Astyanax mexicanus: one gene and its partner. The protein of the gene in region 1 interacts with the protein of each later gene in a pairwise test. Links are inferred from orthologs where the notes say so. Each region holds a gene or a part of one and is shown on either strand. Other genes may lie near its edges.

The links.
Region 2: the proteins of asl (region 1) and mini-chromosome maintenance complex-binding protein interact in binary tests that used the Homo sapiens proteins (3 or more experiments, as listed by UniProt). The two-hybrid records come from large-scale screens. The link is inferred for Astyanax mexicanus from reciprocal best matches to the Homo sapiens genes ASL and MCMBP.

Annotation. Positions count from the first base shown.
Region 1 is NC_064424.1:10,202,339-10,206,276, reverse strand, and holds the start of asl (argininosuccinate lyase), read left to right. Parts: upstream 1-1,528; 5' UTR 1,529-1,863; coding exon 1,864-1,878; intron 1,879-2,046; coding exon 2,047-2,241; intron 2,242-3,919; coding exon 3,920-3,938.
Region 2 is NC_064414.1:37,679,076-37,683,013, forward strand, and holds the start of mini-chromosome maintenance complex-binding protein, read left to right. Parts: upstream 1-953; 5' UTR 954-1,100; coding exon 1,101-1,158; intron 1,159-1,531; coding exon 1,532-1,617; intron 1,618-2,833; coding exon 2,834-2,974; intron 2,975-3,566; coding exon 3,567-3,608; intron 3,609-3,837; coding exon 3,838-3,930; intron 3,931-3,938. UniProt on the Homo sapiens protein: Associated component of the MCM complex that acts as a regulator of DNA replication.

The DNA of each region.
Region 1 (3,938 bases):
CAATGTATGTGACCGAACCGTAAGAAATCGCCTAAAGGAAATGGGATTTCAATACAGGAAAGCTAAAAGAAAACCATCATTCACACCTAAACATAAAAGAACAAGACTGCAGTGGGCTAAGGAGAGGCAATCATGGACTGTGGATGACTGGATGAAAGTTATCTTCAGTGATGAGTCAAGAATCTGCATTGGACAAGGTGATGATGCTGGAACTTTTGTTTGGTGCCGTTCCAGTGAGATTTATGAAGAGGCCTGCCTGAAGAAAACAACCAAATTTCCACAGTCCTTGATGATATGGGGCTGCATGTCAGGCAAAGGCACTGGGGAGATGACTGTGGTTAATTCTTCTATCAATGCACAAGTTTACATTGACATTTTGGACAGTTTTCTCATCCCTTCAATTGAACAGATGTTTGGAGATAATGAAATAATTTTCCAAGATGACAATGCATCGTGCCATAGGGCAAAAACAGTGAAGGCATTCCTTGGAGAAAGACACATTCAGTCGATGTCATGGCCTGCAAATAGTCCAGCTCTCAACCCAATTGAAAACCTGTGGTGGAAATTGAAAAAAATGGTCCACAAGAAGGCTCCGACCTGCAAAGCTGATCTGGCAACTGCTATCAAAGAGAGTTGGCACCAAATTGATGCAGAATACTGTTTGTCAGTCATCAAGTCCATGCCTCAGAGACGGAAAGCCGTTATAAAAGCCAAAGGTGGTGCAACTAAATACTAGTGATGTATTTTGAATCATCTTTTGTTTATCTGTTTTTCATGATTCCATACTTTTTTCCTCAGAATTGAGTGATTCCATATTTTTTTCCCTGTGGTTGGTCAATAAAAGTAACATTCACTGACTTCCACAATGTTTTTTCTTCATTTCTTTGAGTGTTCCTGAAAGCCAACAAGTTGCACTTTGGAATGACCTTATTATTGTATCATGTTTTTGATCAGAGTTTGTTTTACAGAATGAAATGTCTGAAGGAGTGCTCATCCAAGACTGGTGATTCCATACTTTTTGCCAGGGGTTGTAATATAGTTTACACATAATGTGTAATACAGTAGGCTTACTTTTCTAAAACACATATTTTAATGAAGTGTTTTATTAACACTTTTAAAATGTGTAATATATAGAAATATTAATAAAAATAATTAAAAATAATGTTTATTGTTTATCTACTACTACTACTACCACTACTACTACGAATAACAACAATACCACAAGCACTACTACCACTCCTACTTCTACTACTACTCCTTATAATAATAATAATAATAATAATAATAATGTATTTGTAATATTATTTACACATATTGTGTTATGCAGTAGGTATGGTAAGTCATAATTATAAAGATAATTCCCCTTAGACTCTATCTATCTCATAATCATGACTTAATTTTTTCCAAGTGTCAGAGATGGGAGTGTGTTTGAGAGGAGGAGGGATATAATATGGGGTGGAGTGTTTGTGAGGGGAGGAGTGTGTTTGAGAGGAGGAGGGATATATTATGGGGAGAAGTGTTTTTTAGGGGAGGGATATGTTGGATATTTGTAAACCAGCAGGCTGTGGCAGCTGTTGCATCAACTGACTGACACTGGTTTGTGAACCTGCATTTCCACGTTAATGATCCTGTAACTGTTAATTAATCTGATTATTTGCCTTCCTTTGGGCAGAGCACCTGCTGCGTGTCCAAACCACAGAACACGTTCCAGGTAAACACAATAGCTAACTGAGTTCATGAGGCTTTTCTTTATAGGCAGCCAAAACACAGCAGCAGCAGTCTAGCCAAGTTTACTAACCTAGCTCTCAGTAGCTCCTACAGAGAGAGAGAGAGAGGAGATAGCTGGACTGGAGAGGAGGGAGCATGGCAGGATCAGAGGTAAGAGCTCTTATAATCTGAATTACAATACTTATCTCTGTTTTTCAGAGCTGATCTGTTTACTTATCTTGATATATTTAGGCAGCTGTTAGCCACAAGCTAGCTTAAAGCTAACCTAAATTTAATGTAAGTCCTCCTAGCTAACTGTCATGTGTTCCTGCCGAGCAGGGAAACAAGCTGTGGGGCGGCAGGTTCGTTGGAAACACTGATCCAATAATGGAGAAATTCAACGCGTCCATCGCTTACGATCAGCGCATGTGGGATGCAGACATTCGGGGGAGTAAAGCTTATGTGAAAGCTCTGCAGAAAGCTGGACTGGTCACTCCGGAGGAATTGCAGCAGATTCTTTCAGGCCTTGACAAGGTTAGATACCTGTAAACTTCAAGCTCAAGTCTCTGTGACTGTGATCCAACACGAGGATAAAACTTTTCTTTAGGGTGCATCACATCTTTTAAGGTTGATGATGGAAAAACAACCTATAAACAACCTTTATTTAACACAGAACAATAGGCATTAGTTAGTGTGAAATAGCTTTAAAAGGTTGTGACTTCTCTACACTATGCTTGTAGTTGAAAGGTGTTCCCCTCAAATAGTAATAATTAAATGTTTTACACTGCATGAACACAATACAAACTAGTAACAAAGAATACAATAAATAATAATAATAATAATAATAACTATTATTATTTTTATTATTATTACACCTGTAATATTATTTACACATAATGTAAAATATAGTGGACTTACATTCATAGACACCTATTTTAAATAATTAAATAACACTTTTAAAATGTGTATTATATTTGTGTTATTATTTTTATGTAAATATTAATAATAATCAAATTAAAAATAATAAAAGCAAAGTAATACAATTTTTCATGTTGTACCTGGTACTATGAATAATAATAATAATAATAATAATAATAATAACAACAATAGTAATAATAATACACTGGATAAACCTTCATTGATTTGGATGCACATCTTTTAAGGTTGATGATGAAAAAACAAACAACCTTTAAACAACCGTTATTTACTTTTGACTGGTAATGTATCTGAATAGAATACAACCAAAATTTTCATTGATGTCAAATCAAATCAGTGTTGTTTCAGTGCATTAAAGATGGGAATTAAACGTTAATTTAACATATTTTTGCTATCAGGTAGCATAGGGTGTAAGGGTGAAGTGAGAAAAACGGATAGAAAAAGAGAACAAGAGCCAGTTCATGTGCATTTCATGTGCTGTAAAGCTTTGTGTTCTTTAACTAGATGTTAACTTGTGTCCTAGCTGTGCCATAGTCCATTTTTCACTTCTCAGTTATACTTTATATGTAGTGTTTAGGGATTTACAGAATAAGCTGTCCCAAACCAAAACTGAACAATGTTTGAAGGCTGAATACGGAATCCCAACAGACATGCCAACAAAGCACAATATGACTTAATGTTAAAAAATGCTATGTATTAAAAAAAAAAAAAAATTGCACCCAAAGTACTTTTATCTAATTTTTGGCCCATTCATTTCAGTTGGAGAATTTTCAACAATGTGTTTTAGGCCAAAACCATATCTCACATATCTCTGTTTCATGTAATAATTTTCAGAGTTTAAGCATTTAATGGCATGAAACTTCCATTTAAATGACATATTCCAATCAAATCACTATGTGTGGCTGCTTACGTCTCAGTATTGTACATATAAAACTATTTTGAAATGTTGGTGGAGTTCCCCTTTAATGTTTCCCAGACAATAGTGTGCCTTGGCCCAGTCCACAGCTGTACTTTCATATAAACACAACAATAGTGGACACTGAATCATGTGACGATGCTGTTGGCAAGTGCCTATTGAAAAATATGCGACTCTGTTTCAGCAAACTGTATTGTTGAACTGCTGTTGTGTTGTGATGCTGACTAATAAAATCCATATTATTTGAAACTTCCTAGTTAAGGTTATGGTTTCGTAAGACGGGCATTGTGTTGCATAGTTGGATCTTGTTGTGCAGGAAGTTCAGAAATGCGTTAATCTGTTTCTGTTGCATAAAATCAGGTTTTTGGTGAGTGGTCCA
Region 2 (3,938 bases), on another chromosome or scaffold:
TTTAGAACAACTAAATTTCCTTTTTATATTTGCCATTTAAGGTCTTCAGGTCCAGTCAATAACCGGAAATGGTACCAAATCCAATGTGTTAAATGGTAAAATTGTGATTTTTAGCAAAAACAAACAAACAAAAAAAAACAACAATTGGTTAACAGCTTACAGCTGGTAAGTAGCAATGGAAATAAACTGAGCTTTATACAAAAATAAACAAACCTTTGTCTATAGTAAAGCAGTATTGGAACAGATTGTGTTACTGCACACTCTACTGCAGTATTTTTACAACACACAGTTCAGTACTGATACGGTTCAATGAAATAGGCTAGTGAGGATAAGGTGCAAAGATACAGCTCTGAAATAAAATAAGAGACCACTTAAGAATGATGTGATGCTTTGATGTTGAAAACATCTGGAATATAATCAAGAGGAAGATGGATGATCACAAGGCGTCAAAACAAGCTGAACTGCTGGAATTATGGCACCAGGATTGGCATAAAGTTATCCAAAAGCAGTTAGAAAACCTGGTGGAGGAGAACATGCCAAGATGCATGAAAACTGTGATTAAAAACCAGGGTTATTCCACCAAATATGGATTTCTGAAATTTGGAATTTGGGAGAAATGTTTTCTGTAGTTTATAGAATAAAACAACAATGTTAATTTTACTCAAACATCTACCTATAAATAGCAAAATCTCTTATTGTGGTCTCATGATTGTCTGGGCCATACACTACTGCTTTAGGACAACTAAAAATAGGTGTACGTTTGTAATTTGCTATATTTATAATTTTATAATAAACAAACATTTATCAATTATGATTTTGCCCAACTGCTCCATGTGAATCCATTCTTTGTTGGTCTCTCTCGGGAGCGCCCCCTGGTGGAGTAGAGATGTTTAAGTGGGTCTTCTCCTCTCTGGAGGTTCTCTAGTCACAGCTCGCGCTCACGGTCACATGAGGCTGTTCGTGACGCAATTTTCCCGCCACCAAGAAGTGTGTGTGTGGAGCGGAGGAAACGAGTTTGCAAAAAAAGAAAACGGCTTTTTTGAAGTAGTTTAACTTTAAGAACGAGGAGACTTACTGCAGTTTCTGGAAGAGCTTCAGCCATGCCTTCAGTTCAGGACTGGATAAACAGCCCGCTGGGCGCGGTGGACGCGCTGTTCGGTAAAGAGCTGCAGTTTAACAGCAGCAGGGCTCTGGCTCTGTCTCACTGCTGACTGCTGAAACGTGGGGTTAGCCTGGGCAGCATGCTAGCTAACATATGGATAGGTTGGCTCACCTAAGCTAGCTGAATAATTCTCTTTATTTAAATAGCTAGTCTGGTCACTTGAAGCACAGCAGCTCGTGTGTGTGAATTATTAAGTGTCTGTTATTTTCCATATATACCTCGTTGTTTAATTAAAGTTGTTAAATTCTGTTACAGACTGGCAGCATGGGGCTAATTTAGGTCAGCTAACAGAGGCGTTTAGATATGAAACAGGAGCTGCTGCTGTGATTATAAAGCTGTGTTTCTGTAACGTTATTCTGTGTTTTTCAGCTCAGAACAGTTCCAGGTCAGACTGGGAGAGGAAGATTGTGGAGTATTTCAAAGAGAAACTGAAAGTAAACGATGCACAGTCCTGGGTAACTTTTTAATCACGCACTTTGTTTATAAACACGGACTATGTGGAATAATAATAATAATAATCAATAATAATAATAGTAATAACAATACTACTACTGCTACTACTAATAACAATAATAATTAGCATAACAATCAGAATAATAATGACAATAATAGTAATAATATCATCATCATCATCATAACAAAATTCGAGTAATAGTAATAGTAATCAGAATAATATTAATAATAATGGGTATAGTGATAATACTGAAGAAATTACTGATAATGATGATAGTTATCATCGTCATTACCATTATTATTATCTGTATTATCAGTAATAATAATAATAAGAAGAAGGATAAAAATTAATAATCAGAGTAATTGTAGAAATAATCAGAATAATATTATTAATAAGTGATGGTGATAATATTGATGATGATGATGATGATGATGATATTATGGATGATAATAACAATAATAATAATAATTATTATTTTTTTTATTATTATTATAATAATGAGTAATAATGAGTATAATATAAAAAACAATAATAATGACATAGTATAATCTGAATAATATTAATAATAATAGTGATGATGAAGATATTACTGATAATCATGGTGATTATTATAATAATCAGAATATTATCAACAATAATATTGATGGAGATAATACTGAAGATATTACGGATAATTTTGATGGTATCATCGTCATTACCATTATTATTATTATTATCTGTATTATTATCAGTAATAATAATAAGAAGGATAAAAAATAATTATTATTAAAATAATGAGTATAATATAATAATAATAATAATAATAATAATAATAATGACACAGGATAATCTGATTAATATTAATAATAATAGTGATGATGATAAATTAATTATAGTGATGCAGATAATATTAAAAATATTGCTGATAATCATGATGATTATTATAATAATCAGAATAATGTCAACAATAATATTAGTGGGGATAATATTGAAGATATTACTAATGATGATGATAATTCATTTTTTTTACGTGTTTAATATTGATCTACAATGTATAAAATAAATAAACGAAAAACATTAAATACGAAGGTGTGTCCAAAATTTTGACTGCTACTGTAACTGTAATCTTGATTGAATTGCTGGTTTGTTATATAAATAACCTTGTTTTAAGTTATTTTTGTATGTAACACGTTTGTTTGGTTGTGACACTCCAACCAAACACTGTTTGTGATGTTTAGGTTCCCTCTCTGAATGACGTTCCCCTGCACTATCTGAAGCCCAACAGTCTGGTGAAGTTCCGCTGTATGATCCAGGACATGTTTGATCCAGAGTTTTTTATGGGGGTTTATGAGACAGTTGACCCTTCAACAAATTCAAAGGTGGGCAAAAATATTGTCAGTTTATCGTTTTTTTGGCCGAAACACCTTACTATTTAGCATTAGTAGATTTAGTGTAATTTCTTTCATCCATCCTTCTTTCAACACCCTGTTATTAGTTTATTTTTTATTTTCTTTTAGTGAGCACTTAAGTTCATTGAATTTTTTTTTGTCAATTTTGTTTGTTTGCGTACAAGGGCAGTCACTTTTTCCTCATAATTCTATAATTGTGCTTTATGTACCTTTTTTGTTATTTAATAAAGCAGCAGGTATGGATTTTGCCTGGTAAGACGGTGGTTATAATGGTCTAATGCATACACCTGAACAGGCAAATGGCTGCATTTGTAGCGTGTTGTCTGATGTGAGTGCAGCATAATTGTTATTGTGTTCATGTTGAAATACATTTAGAAATGACAAATTGAGCTGCAGTGAATCATGTTGCCATATTATTCAGTTAATAGTTTGTATGTTTAAATACATAATATTTATTTTATCTAATATAGATGATTAATAAATTATAGTTTAAAATTGAGCATATGGTCCTTGTTAATTTATGTTTATTAAATCTGGCTTTTTCTTTTTATTCATTTGTCAGGTGCTGAGATGTGGAAAATACAAAGATGTTACTGATTGTGGCGTGAGTATCTATCTTTCTCTCAATATTTATGAATGGATTGTTGCATGGTCACTTAGTCTACTGTTAAAGTGATTGTTTCTGTGTAGTATATGCTTCAAATAGTATTTAATTTAGCAGTTATACCTAGTAATATTTCTGCAAACATTTAACACCTATTCTCATGCAGAAAGTCAGTCACTCTCTTTAACCTTAATCAATGGTTCTAAGGGGAACATGTTTATCTTTACAGCAGATTGATTTCAACTCCAAAAACGCTGTTACTTCAGAGAGACAAACCTTTTACTGCGTTCCTATCCCAGGAGAATCTCAGTGGGTGAAGGAAATATCCTT